Linked DNA regions of Neurospora crassa OR74A. The protein of the gene in region 3 interacts with the protein of the main gene of each other region in a pairwise test. Links are inferred from orthologs where the notes say so. Each region holds a gene or a part of one and is shown on either strand. Other genes may lie near its edges.

Region 1 (5,051 bases), on a different chromosome or scaffold from region 3:
GATTGATCTGGAGGCGGTATCGGTTTGCGTCTCGGGATACTGATGGATGTTGCCTTCAACCTTCTGTCTGGCATCGGAAGTGGTGTTCCTGGAGGCGGAAGCGGCTGCCCACGTCCCATAGGCTGATTCAAGTCCAGCACCGATGGATGATCATCGGTGAATGAAGCACTCCTACCCGGTGTCCCATCGTTGTTCGAGTGTCGTTGGAACGCATTGAGCCCCCAACGCTTGGCAGATGCAGCCGCGTTGGTAACAAAAGCGGCGGCCAAGGCAGTCTTTTTCGCAGAGTCTGGGTGATTTGGCGTGGGTGCTCCTGTTGTCGATGATACAGTATCTCGCCGGGCAAAAATACCCTTGATGGTCCCAGTTTGACTTTTCACAGACCCCCTTATCGACGAAGCTGGAGACCTCGTCCTGCTTTCCTCCTGGCTGCCTGCGGATGTGGCTGTGTTTCGTCTTGCCTGGTTCTTTTTATCAAAGTCCTGCAAATCTTTTTCCGCATCCACAGCTTCAGAAGAAGAGGACCCGGAAGACTGGTCTGATAACTTGGGTATGACGGACGGCCTCAGGGGCGAGTGAGGCGGCTGTGGTCGTGCTGGAGAATGTGCCTGGACAGACAACGTTGCCATCGCTGATGCAGCAAGGCTTTCGTCCGGTGGTGACGAGGATGGTTTGAAGACGTCAGCATTGATGGCGTCTGTGCTAACCGTTGGCGTCGGAGGATGAGTGATCGAAACCACCCGAATCGGAGGTGGTATACAAGTTTCACTCCTCGTATCGGTCTTGAGCTCGTTTTGATTGTTCGTGCTCAATGAGGTCGTAGATGCAGAATAGACAGGGTCCCCCTTCGCTTTCGTTGTCATCCGCCCAAAAAGGCTAATTGACGGTTTCTTGTCGAGAGTAGGCATGCTGTGGCTTTTTTCCACGTGCGGCAGATCGGGTTCGTGAACGTCTTGAGTACCCTCCAATCGCTCCACCTCGTCCAAATCGCCTTCTTGAGCCGCAGCTGTTTCCAAATCCATGGTTGAGACGACGGTGTCATCATGAAAGATACCACCTCTCCACTTCTTGTGCTCTGTATTGAAAAAAGGCATATCATCCCAGAAGGGTAAGACAAGGGTCTCGGCCATAACCTCCTTGATTTGCTTCTCGATCTGGCGGAGAATAACGGTATAGGTAATCTGTCTAGAGCTGACAATAGGTTCGATTGTCATCTCCATCTTTGGTGCCTGTTGGAAAGAGAACCATAGGCGATTACTGGGTGGGGGCTTGATTTTGAATAAGATATGACCTTCGAGTTTCCGTACAACCACGGCAAGGACAAGATTAACCTCTCGTGCTTTGAATCGCGCGCCTAGATCAATCCTGGCTGTCGCCGCAACCTCCAAGCGGAAGTTGCCAGTGTATCGTACATCTGCCTCAATGCAGCATTCACCCTCAACGGTCAGATCTCGTAGCCGTGGATTCGTGATAAAGGGTGCTGACTCTCCGGTATCGATACCTTTGATAGCAATGTTGGATAGAAATGCCGGCCTTTTAACTCGAGAAATCTTCTTTGTGAGCTTCTCCCGTATCGCGTTCTCTATGTCCTTGGTCTTGTAGATGCCCAAGAAGACGCGCCCAATCATCGCGTTGAGCCAACGGGTTTGCATGTGTTCTTCTGACGAGTGCAGTCTCTGTACCAAGTTGATAATGTTCTTGACCTCAAACTGGATAGGAGATGGGATATCGCTTTCCGTGTCCAGGGCCTGCTGTTCCTGATTTCGTAGCAGAGCAAAGTAGAAGTCTTCCTTCGCAGAGCAATTTTCGGAAAAGAGGTAGAAAGGTTTCGAGACCTGACTATCCGGTCCTATTTCCAGCCCGTCTGTTTTTCGCGAGAGACGTATAGCGTTGCGCTTGATGTACAGCTCGCCCTCAGGAGTAACTTCCTCGCCGGAGTATATGCTGACTTCATGGTGCGCCAGCGCCACAACGTGCCGTACTTCGAGTTGTTCGTCATCGTCAAAGAGCATGAGATGGCCGTGTCTGTCACGAGCATCAGAATCCAGGTCGTATTGAGAGTCAAAAGGATAATGTCACGCACCTCAGGACAACATAAAAGACATTGCCGGCCTTCTTAGGGCGCTGACTAGGACCGTTCTTGTGGTCGATGGGACTGGGACCGGTGGACTTGCGATCGAATATACTCCGATACATTGTCTGGTAGACACTGGGACTGGGAGCGGCGACGGTGGTGGAGCCGACAGGTGTCGACCGCTCGATAGGCTTCGCGTTGATTCCCATGGGCGTATACTCGCGGCAAACTGCAAAATACCCAGAAGCGACACCATCGTCGTGATGGGTCACCCGGGGCTTTCCATCCTTCTTTTGCTCCGCCTTGAGCGCATCAAGATCGTCACCAGGCTGGATCAAGTCGTCGGCTTCTGGGTCGTGGTGCTGGACGGCATCTGGGCGGTAAGGAAACGTAAGGTGAGCATGAAGTAGAGCGCAAGCCACCAACAATGGCAGAAAGGTAAGGCCTCCGAAGAGGTATATCAACAAGAAGACGGTCCAACTCATGGCTGTATATTTTTTTTCCGTCGAAGGGAGATTGTCCACTGCAGTGTTCGAGTCCAGGATGCGGTCATGCAAGATGCGCCAAGACAGGAAGGACTGACAGCGGTCGCTACTCCTCGCTGTTCGGTGTGCCCACCGCGCTCAGGTTGGCTACCTGCTCAGCAGCTCAGAGCAGATGGTTTGCAATTGCGGCATCGATGCGGACTCGAACTCAGGGCTCGCAGTCGCAGTTGCACGGCGAAGTCATGAGTCGTAGGTTTAGTTGGATTACAGACGCGCGCGCTCAGACAAACAGGAAACGGAAGCGGAAGTGGGCGCGGTGGGTTTGAGGTGGAAGGAACTGAAAGATGACGGATGGCCTGCAGCTGTGTTGAAAAGGCCACTCACTCCGACCCTGCACTGGACGGCACGGACGGGACACCAAAACTCAACGGTAGCCCGGGAATGTGACAGGCCAGAGGAGCCCAGAAAAACAACCGAAAACTGGCTAGAAACTACACTACATAGTACTATGTAGTAGTGACAGAGCCAAGGGATCAGATGGTCGGTTCCTATTCCTGTTCCTGTTGGTGACAGCATCCTCGGTCTGGTTGTGTGCAAGAGTGTCAAACCACTTCCGATTTGGAAGGGTCCAAGACGGGTACCTAAAGGTACGTATGTGTACTGGTTAAGAAGGTACACTTTGCCTAGAGGTACCTACCTATGTACATACTAGATTTACACCAGTAAGTAGCATTTAGACAAAGAGGAGATCCAGTAGCTTAGCCACATGCTGAGAGAGCCTTATCACTTCCCCGGCCGCAATATCCAATTGGCCAAATCTGTTTATTTTTTGAGCCACATGCTACCAACGCCTCGTCAATGTCAGAAAGCCACAACGAGACCAAGCAAAATCCCTGACGATGCTTCGGCAGGCATTCGAGGTCTGGAGCGAGCTTGCTCGACATTTCCGTCCACATGAACCTCAAACCCCACAGTGAATCTGTCATCGATCTGTGATGGACCGCCTCAGCCCGCCGCCTTTGTCCAACCAGATGATCATCATCATAGTATACAATCCAAGAACATTCTTGAGAGTGGAACGACCAGTGACAAACAGATATATAACTGAAGCTCCGTTATCAAGTTTCATAAGCATGAACGCTTTCAATCTAGCAAGGCTGTTGCGTTGATGCGCCTGGGGATGTATAAATGGCCCTGGTTGGGTATCGAAATTCTACAATTCAAATAATCATCAGTTGGCTCAAAAGATGGCATCTCTGCGTCCAGGTCGGAAACGGAAGCCCAGTATAACGCTGTAGTCATTTCGTTCTACTCAAATCTCTCCCATCTTTCAAGTTGGATTTGAAGACCTTCTGAGCGTGCTAAGATGCTCACAATACGTACTGGTAGCAGAGATTGGCCCGGTGAAGTGGTTTGTCACGTTTGCTCTATTTGCGTATCCCTATCAACCGCAAGATGCTAGGTCGAGAAACAGAGCGGCCGCACAGCCAGACAGGGCTCGAATTGTGTGTCCCTGTGTGACTCGTCTGGCCACGAGATTCGTCTGGCGTAGTCCATCCGATCACAAGTTGGCTCGAGGCTCAAAAGCACGTACACCTGATCAGGAGGAGGCGCATCGAGCCGGTTCTCGTGTGTTTTGGTTTTGGTCATGGTCATGCCACTGGTATTTTTGATTCCTATAAGCACTCCCGCATCCCAGACCAAAAAATCCATGCAGGATATCTATCCGTGTCGAACGCGATGAACCCCATGCAAAGAAAAACCAAATACGCCAGGTCTACCACCAGTCCTATCCCAAGAGTACTTTAGATAGTGGTCTCGTAGGCGACGGGGGCAACGGTCTCGGGCTTGTTGTCGACGACAGAGATGGTGCGAGCCTCACGGGGAAGAAGGGCCTGGCGCTTGAGCTGGACGGGCTTGCCCTCAGCCTTGGCCTGCTTCTTGAGCTCGGCGTTCTGCTTGACGCGGCGAAGGAAATCGTCGCGGGAGCGGGAAGGCTGAATGTGCTCGATGCGGACGTTGATGCGCTTCTCGATGTAGCGGTGCTTCACCTTCTTGTAGATGATGATGCCGACAGCGGACTTGGTGACGTTGTAGATGACACCAGTCTTGCCGTGGTAGACCTTGTGGGCCATACTAATCGATTTCCAACGTCAGTTTCATAGCTCGCCCGTATTTCCGCAAAAAGTCCTCGTCGTTCGAAATCGCATGTGCCCCTCCTCTTTCGAAATTCCGATGTTTCAGAACCCCAACATATTCCGCATCTCGGTGTTTGTCGCAATCGTAATGGCCCCAAAAAAAATAAGAAGCGTGGGAATGATCGTCGCTTACCCCTTCTGGACAGCACCGTTGACCTTGATGTCGACGATGTCGCCAACCCTAGCAGAAAGTTAGCCATGACGTCCCAACTACCCCAATTCGTCGCTGTCGCAACATACTTGTACTGCTTAAGGTAGGTCGAGAGGCGGATCATACCCTTCTCGCGGAAGTTC
Region 2 (5,135 bases), on a different chromosome or scaffold from region 3:
GTGCCTGGAAACCGGTCATCTGAGGCTGGATAGGGGGTGGCGTGAAGGCGCTGGGTTGAGCGGACTGAGGCGCCGAGAGGGGGCGAGATGGAGGTGGAGCAACAAGACCACCCGGGGCCGCAGTGAACTGAGGAGCAAGAGGTCTTTGACGGGCAATGTTTTGAGGAAGGATCTGTGCACCAACAGCAGGAGGTTGCATACCGGTGAAGAAGCCGGGAGTGGCGCCGGTAAGCTGAGGGACCTGTGCAGGAGCAGCAGCAGCCGGAGCTGGAGCCGCGGAGGGCGGAGGCAACGTGATGGCCGGTTGCACAACTGGCGGAGGAGCGACCTTCTCGGGTTCCAAAGGCTGGGTAAGCAACGACAACTCCTGCATCGACTTGGTAAGAGCCGCCGGCGGAGGGGGGGCCGGCGCGTCAACCAGAGCTGGCGCAGCAGGGGCTGGAGCGGCAGCGGGTGCCGCCGCAGGAGCGGGAGCAACGGCTTGCGCAGCCGGCTCAGGGGTTTTCGTCTTGGTAGGCTTGACATCCCAAGCATCATCATCAAAGCCACTGGAAGGCTTCGAGGCAGACGGTGTTGGCGTAGCCGCAGCCGTAGGAGATGATGACTTGCCACTACCAGCACCCGAGTCCTTAGAGAAAGCGTTGGGATCAACGGTGTTGCTGACCTCGACGGGGGGCGCCGGCCTGCCCTTCTTCGTGTTGTTGCGGAGCGCACCTCCTGGCCCAGAGAAGAGTCCTCCCTCGCCCTCTTCGCCTTTCTTGTTCCGCATGTACTTGTTGTCCAGGTACCGCATGACCTTGATAATATCACCTTCACGCAAGCCCAAGTTCCTCAGCACAGTAGCATCAACATCTGGCAAGACACTTTCGTCGATAGCCTCCCGCAGGAAAGCTTGAGAATACCGTTCGCACAAACCAACCTGTATGTCACAACCAAGGAAGAAGTTAAACCAGTCGTAGTCGGGCTTCTTCGAGGAATCGATGGTGGCGCCAACCCGGGAGCTGGAACCACGGTCTCTTTCCCTGTCGCGCGTCGATCGACTAGACCTCGAAGACTCACCGGCGGATCGCTTGTTCCTAAGATCGGATAGGGGCTTGTCTTCGTCGAGAGATTCGCCAGTTACGCGCTCCACGTACTCGAGATCCTCAACTGACATCTTCGAGACGGGCACGGCGATCTGCACACCGTTCATCTTGTGGAGCCTGATCTTGCCATCCTTGACACCGAGGAACTGGGCCTCAACGCTGAAGGACTTGGATCGATCGGTCCATGTTCGCACTTTGGAAGGATCGGGCTCTGCGACAAACTGTCAGTATTCTGCATACTCTGAAAGAAAATCTGGACATGGGTGTACTTACTCGACTTGCTTGACGACTTGGAGCTGCTGTTCTGACCGGGTTCGCGCCTACTGCTTCGCTGTTTTCCTCTCCTGTTATCATCTGTGGCCGGCAAACTACTATTTCGTTCTTGCAATTGCAATCCTGGGCCTACCTCAGAGTTCCTCTTCTGCTTCTCCTTCTCTTCCTCGCGCTGGGCAGCCTTGATAGCCTCCTTGGTTAAGCGCGCCTCTTCCAGGCGGTTCTTCTCGACTTCCGACATGCCCACGGCAATACCGGTAACGGCCGTCTCCGGCTCTTCCCACACGCCGTTGATCTCAATGTAGCTGCTGGGAACCACACCCTCCTTGCCGTTCTTGACGCGACGCACCATCCACCACTCGTCACTCTTGGTATCGTCGAGAATAACTACCTCATCACCAACGCCGACAGTAACCTCGTCCTCACCCTGAGCCATAAAATCATACAGCACAGCACCCTTCTTCTTCTTGCCTCCGGCTCCCGCGGCAATGATCTCCTTGAGTCCCTCGAGGCGCACAGTTCCGGCCATGTCGCCCAGCATCGCGACGATCTCTTCAGCGGTGTCCTTGGCGCCCGCATGAAAGTCAACGCTCTTGCTTGGTCGTACGAGCTCCATAAACACGTGCTTGCCCTCCCGAGAGTAGTGTGTCATGCAATCGGCCCGCCATTCCTGCGATGGACCGTCGTGGGAATGTTCCGGCGCTATGAGAATCATTCCCGTCCTCAGGTTGATGCCCAGCGTGGTAGGCATCTTCTTCTTCTTGCCCATCACCGACGTCATCTCGTTGATGTTGTACATGTGGAAACCGCCAGGGGTAAGCGCGGCGGTCTGAGGAGGAGGAGCCTGGGAGGTTCGCGGGCTAATGCCATAGTCGTCGGTGTCGTGGGCTGCTGACTGAGCGGGCGGCGGCACCGGTCTGTAGGATTTTTGCTCCGGAGCAATTTGCGAATCGCCCCGCGGGCGGCTCGGAAGCGGCGGGGACCTTACCTCATTTTCGTAATCTTCCGAAGCGTATGACTGTCGCTGGGGCTGGGGAACACTGATAGGCGCTGGAGGTTGGAAAGAAGAGCGGTTGGCCATAACTCCGGCGATGGCGGCGGCAGCAGGGTTGGAAGCGGCGACAGGGGTGCTTGGCTCGGAGGGCACACTCCTGGCGGGCAGGGGCGGGCTGGCTACATCGACGCTGACGCTGGGTGTCCTCTGCGGAAGAGGAGGAGGGGGGGCAGTCGCTTCTTCCTCCTCCTCGACCTGGCCAGCCTGGCCATCGCCCAACTCGATGTAGTTGGCGGGCGCGAAGCCGTAGTCGCCATCGTGGCCAACAAGGATCCAATCGGGGTCGGAAGTGTCGAAGACTGAGAGCTGCGCATCCTCGGGGAAGGAGAGCTCTTCGTCGGTCTGACGCGTGTACTCGTAGAGCGCGCGAGCGTATGATACGGGTTTCGCCTGGCGTCATGGTGTGCGCGGTCAGTTCAAGTGATCCATCTGAATGCCAAGGCCAGCCAGCTTGCTATCCTCCAAGCAGGTACAAGTGCCCAGATGACACTGCACGCAATCCAGATCTAGACCTCGGACCACATTACATACCTCCTCAATGTAGTTGTTGGGGATCAAGCCGACGGGCTCGTCATCGTCGGCAGCATTGGCCTTCTTCTTCGCCTTCCACCAATCGTCCTCCTGACTCTTTTCCAACACATAGAGAATGTCGCCCTCGGAGATTGTCAACTCGCCCTCGCCCTGGGGCGTGTAATCGTAAATGGCCCTATAGACGCCGAGGAAGCCCATGGCTGCTGCGGGAAATCTGCTCGTATGATGCCCTTTGGATGGCAGCCGACATGAACCGACGCAAGGGAGTTGCTGTTGCGAAGAAAGGAATTGGGGAAAACGAAAGGCGCCGTGGTGCGAATGGTGGCTGGTGGTGTGGTATCACAAGTCTTGGTTCTGCCGGGGAAGGGGGGGTGTGTGTGTGTCCGGTAGGAAATGGAATCAAGGAGCGAGCGGCGGCGGCGGCGGCGGCAGCAGCGTGTGAGAGCGGGTGACGCTGGGTTGGTGACGGGTGACGGGGGTGCGGCGCTGCGGCTGCCGGGCAGAAGGTGAACGAGGATGGAAGCTCTTCTAGAGTGTACGGGTGCTCCTGAAGCAAGGGGTAGCCGCTGAAGCAAGCACTGTAGGTATGCCCGCTTGCGCGTAGGATTGCGGCCGGCCAAGGCCCTCCTGTATGGTACCTACGGATAGGTAGCCTGTAATTTCGAGCGAGGGAACGTCGGGAAGATGTCGACGACAGCGAGCACGCGCGGCTGCGGTGACCCTGCGAGGAATTTGACCTTTATCGTGATCAAGAGTCTGGAGTTGCGGTCGAAATGGTCGAGCCAAGGGAGACGTTGGAAATTACTCTATGTCCAAGTCGTGGACCCAAGTGCTCGTTTAAAGGAGCCGGTCCGGGGGGTGTGTGTTCGGGGGGGTGGGGGGGTTCGCTGAATTTGGGGGAATTTAGACGATGCAACGAAGCGGTCGCGAAGACACCGCGATCTTCATGGATGCTATCACCAAAATGTATATTTATGTAATTGCAATGTCCACGGAAAATCCATTCGAGATCAAATCAAGCGTAGGTAGGAAGTGCACTATTGACCCGAGGACAAATGAACACCTTGTTCGTACCTTACAATTTGAAACCCCAAGAACAGGTACGTAACCTCCCAGCGCTGGAGGTGTATGTACCTAGCTTTTATTTGGAATAACCGCAGCGCATTTCGAGGGTTCAGGTCAACCCCAATGACCGACCAACAACATCGAAGCAAGGTACTGGCGCAGGAACGAAGGATTCTTGTCCAAATTGAACCCGAAAGAGTGAGATCGTGCAGGAGCAAGCACAGCCCAGCCGCATCTCGAGCGCTGCTGGTACGGCATAGCACCTGAATAAGTACCTCGAAAGCGCAACTTTCACTTTGTTACACAGTATCTATTGATTGGCCGTAATTGTGGCTTAATTGTGACAGTCAACTTGGGCTCTTCTTCACGCCCAACTTTCCCATCAATCAATCAAGAAACAGCAGCCAGCTGGTCCCGACCGGCAAACCCGGGCATTCATCAGCGATCTACTGTAACCGCACGTGTAGATAGCGTCATATCCCGGGTTTTCCCTCTTGACATTTGGGCGCTTGGTGGATCGTTCATTTCAGGTCGGGGTCCGCTGGGCATGGGAGCCGTTCAGCGGGTGTCGATGTTATTTATACGCCCCCTGAATTGCATTTGTTTCGTCGTAACTCCCTCGCGTACGGTAACGTAATCATCAATACAAGCTAGTAGCAACTATTGTCGACCCCCTTTTTCTTGGTGGAGATACCCTGACCAAAAGTCTAAACGCCAGTTCAACGTAGATTATACCTATATCGATCGAATCACCCTCTGAACTCGGTTCAATATTCTGTCAAGTCTATATAGCATGACTCCAGATACCAGTACCACTTGCATTACCCAGCCAGTCCAGACCCAGAATGGCCCAATGTCTAATATCTTCAACGAAGATGCCCTTCACTCACTCACTCACTCACATACCACCTCCAAACAGTCAGGACAGTCTTGCACAGGCGTACTCCCCACCTCCTGCGCCATCCCCACCGTAGCTTCTGGAGGCTGCATGTCCTCCATATAATCCTCCATCACAATCACGCTCGGTGTGTCCTTCCTTCTCATCATCTCCACCTCGCCGACGAATTCTCCAGATGAGGTGATGTCAGCCACCTACGGCTTAGCATCGCTCTCATGCAACGAACTCT
Region 3 (4,875 bases):
AACAAGGCAGGTGCATGTCTCTCACTTGAAGCTAAACCAGAGGACCTCGCTATCCAGGGCACCGAAGCATTGCATCTTAGCTGGAGGCCATCGTTCAACATCGGTATTTCCAATAAGGACCCTCCAGTACACTTGCCATGGCTTTCAGTGATACCTACCTGTAGATGAGTAGCAGATATGATACACATCTTTCTTTCCTCCCAAAAAAAAACCTGAATCCTTGGAGTCGAGCCAGGAGGTGAAGCCGAGCCAGGTAGTTTTGACAAGGCAAGCGGTTGTTGGTGACACTAGATTCAAGCTGAGCTGCGTGGTCGTTGCGTTAACAAAATTAGAAATTAGCTTCACCTGAGGAAGCTTGACGCGCGGGCAAGTACCTAACCTAAAGGGAACAAACCACGACGGCGATCATGGCAAAACGCATCTAATCAAAACTTCCAGGTTTGACCCAATGCACTGTGACCTTTTCACTCCGTTGCTTCCTTCGCTCCAAAACAATACACCCGCCATTTCCCTAGACGCAAACACCCGGGACCCTCTCGCTCCACGCTCCTCGCAGGTCCTCCTTCGCGACGGAGTTTCCTCCTGCCTGACTATTCTCAACAGAGTCACCTGCCGCATATCATTGCATCCGTATAGGATCACCAAGGCCCTGCTACAGAACGTCACGGCCTGGTACGATGTAGACGAACTAGAAAGAATCCGTGTTGTGGTTGCAAATGAATAACTCGACCATGAACGGGTCCACAAAAAAGGGGTATAGGTTGAAGTCGTGCTGAGAAGTGAAGTGTGCTGAAAGCAACTCTTTGATAACTACATTTACAAGTAGCCTTGTATCCTCTAGCTGTTTAACTGGACATAGTTTCCTAGCAAAAGACCATTGTGTCAGAACATATCCAGCTCGCAACAAAGCAAGCACCCTAAGAAATAGTACAGTACGTACCTGGGAATTGACCCTGCTTTCCATGCAACTTTCCAATCCACCACTCATTCTCGTTCGCAGTCCTTGTTACTATCTCAATCACATCACCGGCACGGAAGCTCAGATCGCCCTCCGCCTGCGCCGAGTAGTCGTAAAGCGCTGTGACGGTCTCTACTTTGGGTGCCGCCGCCATGAGGGCCTTGGGCTTGGGCTTCGGCGGTGGGGGCTTGGCCTTTGCAGCCGCCGCCATGGACAACGACGAGGGTTTCGGGCTGGCAACTGGAGCGGCGTAGGAGGCGGGCGTAGCATGTAGCGTGCTCGGCTTCACCGAATACGGTGGCGGCGCATGCGCTTCTACTGTTTCCGCCTGGGTTTCCCAAGGTCGCGGTGCTGTGACGGCAGGAGCTTGTTGTTGCTGTTCCCAGGGGCGTGGGGCTGTGACTGAGGGAGCCGCCTCAGGCGGACCGGTGGAAGTGGTCGTGGAGGAGCCAGCTGTAAGTAGGCCTGCTGGCTTGTTTCCTTCGAGAGCGCCTGGACGTTGGTACTTGGGCGGTCGCTTCATACCCGTGGTCTTGAACTTGACAATGGAGAGAGCCTCAGCCCGCTCCTGGACGTCACCTCGCTTCGCGTAAAAGGCCTCCTCAATGTCCAGGGTCAGGTCGAAGTAGCCAATGTCGCAGTGCTGCATCTTCTCGTGCAAGGTGTAGAAGATGTTGAGCTGCATGTAGTAGAAGGACTGGAAAAGCGGCTGAATGAACTGGCGTTCGAGGGCAAACAGCTTGGGTAGCTCGTCCTTAAGCAGATCGTTGAAGTAATTGTACTCTTGCGTGGCCTGCTCAACTTCGTTCTCAGCCTTCCACATGGCCTTCTCGTCCTTTGCCGACCGGTCTTTCTTGTCCTGGAGCTTCTTGAGGGTGGCGCGGTGTCTGTCGTAGTCCAGCTTCTTGTGCTCGCGCTTCACGGCCGTTTTGCGAATGACCTTGATCACATCGAGGAGCTCGTTCGCTGGCCGAATAACCCTAGCCTCAATCATTTCCAACTCTGGCGCCAGTGTTTCCTGCAGGTCCTTGACAACGGCCTCGTACTCCTCGCAGGCGGCAATACCCTCATAGTTGCCATGGGGAACGAGCGAATCGGGATCGGACATGCGGCCGCTGATGGGCTTGTAGATTTCGGTCATTGCCTTTGAGAACTCGATTTGGTGTTGCAGCATGCCATTGATGGCCTCAAAGTACTTTTTGCTTTCATCGTGAAGGCGTTTGGTCTCGGTTTCGAGCTCCTGGAATCTGCGCTCCGAGTCGATGTAGACAGGGTCTTTGGTATGCTCGCCGAGGTTAAACTTTTGCTTGAATTGTTGTGGTGCCTGGTTTCTGTCGTGTTAGTGCCTGTTTGCCAACCCGAGTGATTCGGCGCTATTTCTGCCACAGACGGGGGACTCGACGGGAAGGGCGGAAGTGATGATGACGCTGTAACCGAAACTAGGGGAGGTGAGATCAACTAGGTATGCGGGGCAGAACCTACGCGGACCACGCTTTTTTGGAAGCCCCTGAAGCTCATATTCTGCTACGAAGCCGTATGATGTCTGATGTGTATTCGGTGTTTGTATGGAGATGCGCAAAGCGGGTTGCTGTTCGGAGAGGTTGAAGGCAATCGGTGGTCGAGTGCCCTCTTCAAGTCGGATCCGGATACGATGGTGATGACGCTGGGGGTGGGCAGGGGGGCGGTGCAGGTCGTTTGGCTGGTGGACGAAGTCTTGGCTGAGCGAAGCTTGCGACGGTTTGCGTGGCGCTGCTATTTGCTGAATGTTGGACACGCCGCACACAGCGACCTCGTTCCAAGATGTAGTGTGAAAAGTCTTTTTGTCTAGGCGTCTTGTGATTTCGGTTTGTTCTTGAATCCCGTCGGTCGGACCCTTGTCAGCAGTTCCGTTCGAGGTCCGACAAACTTCCTCGGGGAGGATTCGGTCTTCAACGGTAGGAGGTAAAGTAGCTAGAGGTAGCTGTCCTAGAGGTAAGATGCTACTAAATAGTTTAGCAGTGTAAATGGAATTCAAGTAGGTTGTCGGCGGTTATATGGCATGTCACTGATGGTTCAAGTTATAGTCCAACGCAGACATCCAATGCGAATGGAAACAGAATACTACCGAGGAGGTAAATAGGTACCGTCATCGGTTGTTCTGCTTTTGGTCGATGAGACCCCGGAAAGGAACGAATTGGAACGACGGGGTAGACCGACTGGGTCTGGGGCCCGCTGTAGTGTAGCTTTCATCCCAGTGGACATGCCGATTGAGAGAACAGATGGATGCCTGCCCCGGGTCAGTGCTCTTCCTTTCTGTGCAATGATGGATCAGATGCGTCCGCGGAGTCCGTTTCACAAGTGGACATTCCGCACTGTATTTGTCAAGTCAGTCGCCGCGGTGCACATCGAGCGTTCAGTTTCCGTCATGCCCGGCGGCCCATTCTCTAACATTTTGGAGCAGCGTCATTTTCGCCGTACGTACATACGCGCTTGTCCGATGTCCGAGAAAGAAACAGGTGGGGCCATCCGATGGCAGAATGACCAATCAAAGTGCCAAACCTTGTTGGTTGTCGCCCCTCATTGGCACATTCCTTTATCACCGACCCCTCCGAGGCCAAGTCCGCGTGCGGATGCCGTTTGTTTCGATTTGTTCTTTTCTGTATGGCGGAAATTCCACTCCGACCGCCGAAGAGCGGGAGGCGGCAGCTCCATCTGAATTTCTGAGTGTGTTTTGAGCCGCCCCGCCCGCTGCCTCCATCCGTTTTTGTAGGTTTGGTTACAAAACGAACTTTTTCTCCCTCATCCGCCATCACCCTCACCACCATATTCTCTTTTCCTCTCCTTCTTTCTTCTTCCTTTTACCATGTCCACCATTGCGCCGTCCGTCTTGCGACAGGCATCGCGCTTGGCCGCGGCCGCTCCTCTCCGCAGCGCGCGTGTGCTGTCGCGGGCGACTACTGCGGCTGCTGTCAAGACTGCTTCTGCTTCCAGGAGCTATGTGACCGAGACCAAGAGGAACAACGCCGACGTGCAGGCCGAGCATGCTATCAAGCTGGATCACAGGGAGATGGAGAAGCAGGGCCTCACTATAAGCGCGCAAAATGGCTCGAGCCAACACGTCAGCCCCATGGCTGGTAAGCATCATCATCACCTCCCACCTCTTCGGAGACATATTGCGCAGTCGTCCTCGTTGCTGACTCAACTAGATGTTCTCAGCAATGCTACCGTGATGGATGAGGGACAGCGTCCCATCTACCTGGATATGCAGGCCACAACCCCCATCGACCCCAGAGTGCTCGATGCCATGATGCCCTACTTCACCAACGTCTATGGCAACCCCCACTCGAGGACACATGCCTACGGCTGGGAGACTGACAAGGCCGTTGAAGAGGCGAGGAAACACATTGCTGATCTGATTGGCGCTGACCCCAAGGAAATCATCTTCACCAGCGGTGCCACCGAAAGCAACAACATGAGTATCAAGGGCGTCGCTAGGTTCTTTGGCCGGTCCGGCAAGAAGAAGCACATCATCACCAGCCAGACAGAACACAAGTGTGTCCTCGACAGCTGCAGGCATCTCCAGGACGAGGGTTTCGAAGTGACCTATCTCCCAGTGAAGAGCAGCGGCCTGATCGACATGGCGGAGCTGGAGGCTGCCATCCGTCCCGACACCGCCATCGTCAGTATCATGGCTGTCAACAACGAAATTGGTGTCATCCAACCCCTCGAGGAAATCGGCAAGCTTTGCCGGTCCAAGAAGATCTTCTTCCACACCGACGCTGCCCAGGCTGTTGGCAAGATCCCCGTTGACGTTAACGCCATGAACATTGACTTGATGTCCATCTCCTCCCACAAGATTTACGGCCCCAAGGGCATTGGTGCATGCTACGTCCGTCGTCGGCCAAGAGTCAGACTGGACCCCATTATCAGCGGTGGTG
Region 4 (5,192 bases), on a different chromosome or scaffold from region 3:
ATATTGCTTATATTTAGTAAAGTTGTATACGAGGTTCTAAGTTGAGATTTGCGACAATTCTTATTTTTAATTTCCTTTAATAAGACTGTCGTCAATCGTTACGCACTATTACTCTATCTAGCAACCAGTTACTCACTCCATTATTCTCTGTTGTTATCACTTGTAAAGTATATCTTCGCGCAACAACCCTACTGTACATACTAGTTAAGTTTCAGCTGAAAATTATTAAACTAGACTACCGAATAAGCTGATTTTCCATTACCAGCACCGTGGATTTCGACACCTTTGCCTTCAATCATGCATTAAGCTCAACGTAGTTGGCGGGGAACAGACCTGACGCTCCACTGTAGTGGCCAAACCACCAGTCATCATCGGGAAACTCCAAACCCGTAATCGTGGCTCCTTCGGGGAAGCTCAACTCTGTACCGATTCGTTAGTCACTACTAGGCCTGGGTTTCGCGGCTGATATATGCGGGGCTTCCAAGCATCACTTACCATTATCTTCTGCTGCCTCGTAATCAAACTGCGCCGTCGCTGTTGGGCCAGCAACTTGATCGGCCGGAGTTGCAGGTGCTACCGCTTCGGCCTGCGCAGATGAAGGCACAACAGGGGCTTGAGTCGCCGCTACTGTTGGGGCTGCGCTGAAAGCAGCAGCAGGCTCATCGTCTTCCACGACTTCCACGTAGTTGCTAGGGAAAAGTCCACTCTCCCCTTGCGCATTGGTTCCCATCCACCAATCGTCATCCACCATCTGAATATTAGTGACATAGTCACCTTCCTGGAGATCAATCTCATTATCCTCGGCCTTCTCGTAGTCATATTGTACCAGAGCACGCTTGCCACCATCTGAACCAGCCTGCTGAACCTCGACACCCTGGCCAAGAGATTCGCTGGCAACATTCAGGGCAGCAGCACGCGGATCGTGGGTATCCTCCTCTACGGGGAGGTCCTCTTCTTTCGGTAGATCCTGCGATACGGGCACCGGACGGGGCGGCAGATTGCCAGCTGGCTCCACCTCAGGCACTGCGCTCCGAGCAATCGGGACTGCGATGCGAGCAGGGGACGAAGGCTCCTCTTCATGCTGGTCGGCCGGTTCGAGTGCACGGACTTCTTCTTCTAGCTGCCTTTCATCGTTCCCTTCCTCGTCGTCAGCAACAGAAGGCCGGGATGGCAGACCAGGAAGAGCAAAGCCACCGGAAGGACGGCTTCCGGTTGGCAGGGGCGGCGGAGTATGCCCTTCTTCACCAGTGGCCGGGCCGGGAGAAGGCACGCTTGGTGCTGACCGTGACCCCGTACGGACCGCCACAGGTGCCGTATCCTTGAATCTCTCGCGCAGCGCAGATATGCCGCCAGCCGGTGAGGCAGGTGCTTCAGGCTCATATTGCTCTTGCGAGGCGCTTCCTCCGGTTGCGTGTAATTCAAGACCTCGGCTGTAATTGGGTGCCTGCACAGGTGCCCAGCTCTTCCCCGCGTAACCGCTTTTCCATTCGCTGCCGCTCTTCTGGGCAGCAATAGGCGCAGCGGCGGGAGAGGGAGTGGACGCAAATGCAACTGCACCGCCTTGTTTGGCCTTCTTCTCGGCCCAGATTTGGGCCGGCGTCTTGCCTCCCTGATCCGCAAATGTTCTGCTGGCAGCCCCAATAGGAGTAGCGGTAGGAACTGCAGGCGAGCTGAAACCGAGAGGAGCCGGCGTGGGAGCTTTGGTGCCAGTAAATGCAGCGCTGCCTACAAATTTCTTGGCAACTTTGGGCTTGGGAAGTTCGGTCAAGCGTTCTGCTTGCGTAAATACAGCAGTCCTCTCTGCCAGACTCCTGGGCGTCTCCAATTCTTCCGGTTCAGTCGGACGTTGTTGCGCCTTTGCGCGAATGGCGGCAATATCAACCTTGCCCACCGGTTCATAGGCTCCCTTCACGGTTACAGGCCGATCATCATGGGTCTTCTTTGCTTGGGCGCGAAGAGCAGCAATATCAACCTTTCCGATAGGCTGATAACCACCCTTAACAATGTCTTCCGGCCGGTCATTTTGCTTCTGAGTTTCTTCGGAACGCGAGTCATCTTTGTTCTTTCTGAGTTCGGCAATGTTGACCTTGGTCGGCTGGTAGGCAGACGCGACCTTCTCCAGCTGGGTCCGCGTGACTGGCGGTGCGTCGACACCCCAGCCGTCGTCATCTTCGCCCCCGTGATTCCGGATCCGTGCGGCAACAATGGGGTTGAAAGAGCTGGCCGATGTAGAGGTAGTCGGGGTGAAAACGGGCTTCTTTGCAACGGGGGGCGGGGCAACGGCTGACGCGGGTGCCGAACCACCGGCGGTATATTTGGCGCCTGAAGCATCGGCAACCTTTTGCACAATAGACTCGGGAGAAAGGTCTCCGTCGGAGCGTGCTGTTATTTGAACATGGTAGCCGTGAAGAATCTTGGAGACGGCGGCCAAATGGCTGGTAAAGTACCCCTTTGTTCGCTCGGGAACACCACCGCCACACCAGGCAATCAAGACGTTCTTAGGAAGTCCACTGTTGGGGTCCTTGACTTTGACGAAGGCAAATTGAATGCGACCCTCGTTGAAGTCCTCGATCAGGTCGGAAAGCTCACCATCTGTGACGACTGATAATTAGTCGGGCCCATGGATATGGTGGGAAGGAGAAGTTGTGGGCCGGCATGGCACTCACCGCCAGTGCTCTCGACCTTCAGGATGCTCTCTTTTGCCCCAGAGTCTTGGAAGGCATTCAAAAGAGGCGCCTGGACGGAAAAAAGGGCCCAGTGTGCGTAGGTAGGAGATGCCGAAGATGGCGCAGGGCCGTTGATGACGCCCTGATAGCTGCTCTTAATGGAGGGCCCGTGGATGGACAGGTTTAAGGAGGCCATGGTGGGCGGAGTGGCCAGCTTTGTAGAGCGGGATGGATGGGTAAACGACGCGAAGGAGCTGGAGCGTTCAGCAATCGGAATATCGTGAATTGCTGATAGCTGCAGCAACGGCTACAGATTGTTGGTGATCTAGACGTCGGTCGGGTCGATATTGGAGGTCGAGAGCAAGATGAAGGTTCCGGTGTTTGGAGGCGCATGGACGGGACAAGTCGTTAGAGCTACGCAGCGCTGAAGTTAGGTACCCTTTAGGTACCTAGGTAGGTAAGTGGAAGTTGGGGTGGAGCTCCATCCGCGCACATATGTCAATACACTACTACACCTCTGCATAGCTTTGAAATGTTAGCGCGGTACAGCCAAGGCGCCAGCCAAGCCACTAATCCTATAGAAAACTAGGATTGTAATACAGCTAGGATTCTCATTTATTGTAATAGTAGTTAATAATATCTTCATCTGCCTTAATAACCTTTCTTATCCTCTCCAGCATTGAATAGGCTATAAAGGATTAGAGTAGTAATATCGTAAGGGATAGTTATTGCTTGTTATAGTAGAAATGATAACAATAAGAAAACGCTTCTACCGATTCCTAGAAATTTATATTACAGAGTTTTAGTACCTTACCCAAAATATTATTAAAAAGGTTATATTAAAATACTTCTTGCTGGTAGTTCTGCTAACTCTCTACTCATTTGCAAATTATTATACTTGTATTTTAGATTTATATATAGGTGTATATAACTAGGACTACTCGTTCTCTGCCCTCTTCTACTTTATAGGACCTTACTAGACTCGTATTTCTAAAGTAGGTACCTATAAATAATAAAACTATATAAGAAAAATACCTACTAGGGTTAGAGAGATAATTTATATTAAATATAATAAAATAATATGTATTTATAATCTAATAGTTATTTAAAAGTAAAAAGAGAATTAGAAAATAGTTAGAACAAAGTAATATACTTATCCATTAAGCTTTTTCTCTTTTACAATTTTCTATATATTAAAAAGTTGTTACTAGATATATACGATTAGCTGTAGATTAGAGTACTGGGCTAGTTAGACTACTTAATTGAGCTGTACCTAGCACTATAGCCGGAGTACGCTTGGTACTATAGTCGAGCGTATGGTAGCTAACTACTATTGGTAGGCGGGCCGGGAAGTAGGGAATCTACCCCTATAAACTAAGGTAAATCCTTATTCTAACTAGGGTCCTTATATAAAAGGATCCCTAGTTAGGCCGGCTGTTAATTGTAAAATTTCCTTCTATATTTCACTTTCTTACTATAAGGGGACAGTAGAGCGATATGTAGGTGCTGGCCTTATGTGTATATATTAAAGTTCTACGAAGAAAGAAAGGATAAAACACTACCCTCCGGGTCGCTCGAGTACTAGAGTTTAAATAGCCGTATATTCTAGTAGCTACCTTATAGCCTAAAAAACTGCTTTGAAACCGGAAACGCCGATTTCTAGTCGAGGAGTACTCTAAAATGAAAATTAATAACAGCAATCGACTTAGGAGGGTCGTTTACGTTCCTTACAATATCTTACGACGAATATAGCAATAGTATTGTATTGTCGTTGCCGATAGCTATTAATAGCAGTACTTGTAGATTTGAAAATAGTATCTACAACCCGCTTGCGGAAATCTCAATATATAACAATTCTAAAGCCGTACTTACTATAAAGACTTTAAATAAAATAAATAAAGATAATAAAATATTAAAGAAATTTATTGTTAAAGCGAATAAATTTGCGGACTATAATATTATTTCGACTAAGGACCGTCGTTAAATTCGAGAATTACTTCTTAAATTTATAAAGGTATACGTTAAAAAAAGTAGGTTTATATAACCCGAAGTTAGTAAAGTTAGAATCGATTAATTTATTATTAAGAAGGATTTTAATAATTTAAAGAAGGATATTTTAAAGGAAATTAAGAAAGGCGTTTAGGAAGTATTAAAGTATTGGGCCGATATTATAGTAAAAGTTAGCCCGAGTAAAATTAGTACTATCTTTTAATAATTATTTACTATTATTAAAAAATTTATCCCCTTTAACTTTGAGTAATAGTTTATTATTAAGGGAATAATAATTACTATTAAATTTATAAACTATTTAAAGAAAGATATGAAGACGACCCTAATTATTTATTTAAGTAAAAAGAAACTTAGCCTAATAATTTATATAGCTATTAGAATATTAATAATTAATAACTACATAATTATATTTAATAAATTTATATATATTTAGTACTAGTAAAATTAAATATAGATTAAAGATATTTTCGGCCCCAATATTTTTATTACTATAAATATTATAAGCGTATTGGTTTA

What was found.
Region 1: the proteins of NCU04637 (region 3) and NCU01947 interact in binary tests that used the Saccharomyces cerevisiae proteins (3 or more experiments, as listed by UniProt). The link is inferred for Neurospora crassa OR74A from reciprocal best matches to the Saccharomyces cerevisiae genes RVS167 and NVJ2.
Region 2: the proteins of NCU04637 (region 3) and NCU02978 interact in a two-hybrid assay, tested with the Saccharomyces cerevisiae proteins (2 studies listed by BioGRID). The link is inferred for Neurospora crassa OR74A from reciprocal best matches to the Saccharomyces cerevisiae genes RVS167 and SLA1.
Region 4: the proteins of NCU04637 (region 3) and NCU10073 interact in binary tests that used the Saccharomyces cerevisiae proteins (3 or more experiments, as listed by UniProt). The link is inferred for Neurospora crassa OR74A from reciprocal best matches to the Saccharomyces cerevisiae genes RVS167 and ABP1.

Annotation. Positions count from the first base shown.
Region 1 is NC_026501.1:1,898,580-1,903,630, reverse strand, and holds the start of NCU01947 (hypothetical protein), read right to left. Parts: upstream 3,031-5,051; 5' UTR 2,560-3,030; coding exon 2,084-2,559; intron 2,026-2,083; coding exon 1-2,025. Other genes in the region: NCU01948 (60S ribosomal protein L21), read right to left, coding at 4,365-4,695, 4,891-4,938, 4,998-5,051. UniProt on the Saccharomyces cerevisiae protein: During endoplasmic reticulum (ER) stress or when cellular ceramide levels increase, induces contacts between the ER and medial-Golgi complex to facilitate non-vesicular transport of ceramides from the ER to the Golgi complex where they are converted to complex sphingolipids, preventing toxic ceramide accumulation.
Region 2 is NC_026501.1:8,519,387-8,524,521, reverse strand, and holds the start of NCU02978 (cytoskeleton assembly control protein SLA1p), read right to left. Parts: upstream 3,142-5,135; coding exon 2,944-3,141; intron 2,803-2,943; coding exon 1,359-2,802; intron 1,297-1,358; coding exon 1-1,296. Other genes in the region: NCU02979 (AMP deaminase), read right to left, coding at 5,101-5,135. UniProt on the Saccharomyces cerevisiae protein: Component of the PAN1 actin cytoskeleton-regulatory complex required for the internalization of endosomes during actin-coupled endocytosis. The complex links the site of endocytosis to the cell membrane-associated actin cytoskeleton.
Region 3 is NC_026505.1:1,375,148-1,380,022, forward strand, and holds NCU04637 (BAR adaptor protein RVS167), read right to left. Parts: upstream 3,193-4,875; 5' UTR 2,477-3,192; coding exon 2,441-2,476; intron 2,283-2,440; coding exon 941-2,282; intron 864-940; coding exon 838-863; 3' UTR 93-837; downstream 1-92. Other genes in the region: NCU04636 (cysteine desulfurase), read left to right, coding at 3,801-4,071, 4,144-4,875. UniProt on the Saccharomyces cerevisiae protein: Component of a cytoskeletal structure that is required for the formation of endocytic vesicles at the plasma membrane level.
Region 4 is NC_026501.1:4,040,125-4,045,316, forward strand, and holds NCU10073 (actin binding protein), read right to left. Parts: upstream 3,101-5,192; 5' UTR 2,863-3,100; coding exon 2,667-2,862; intron 2,593-2,666; coding exon 496-2,592; intron 421-495; coding exon 296-420; 3' UTR 137-295; intron 75-136; 3' UTR 55-74; downstream 1-54. UniProt on the Saccharomyces cerevisiae protein: Regulates ARP2/3 complex-mediated actin assembly. Recruits ARP2/3 complex to sides of preexisting actin filaments, which may promote nucleation or stabilization of filament branches. Binds to actin filaments, but not actin monomers.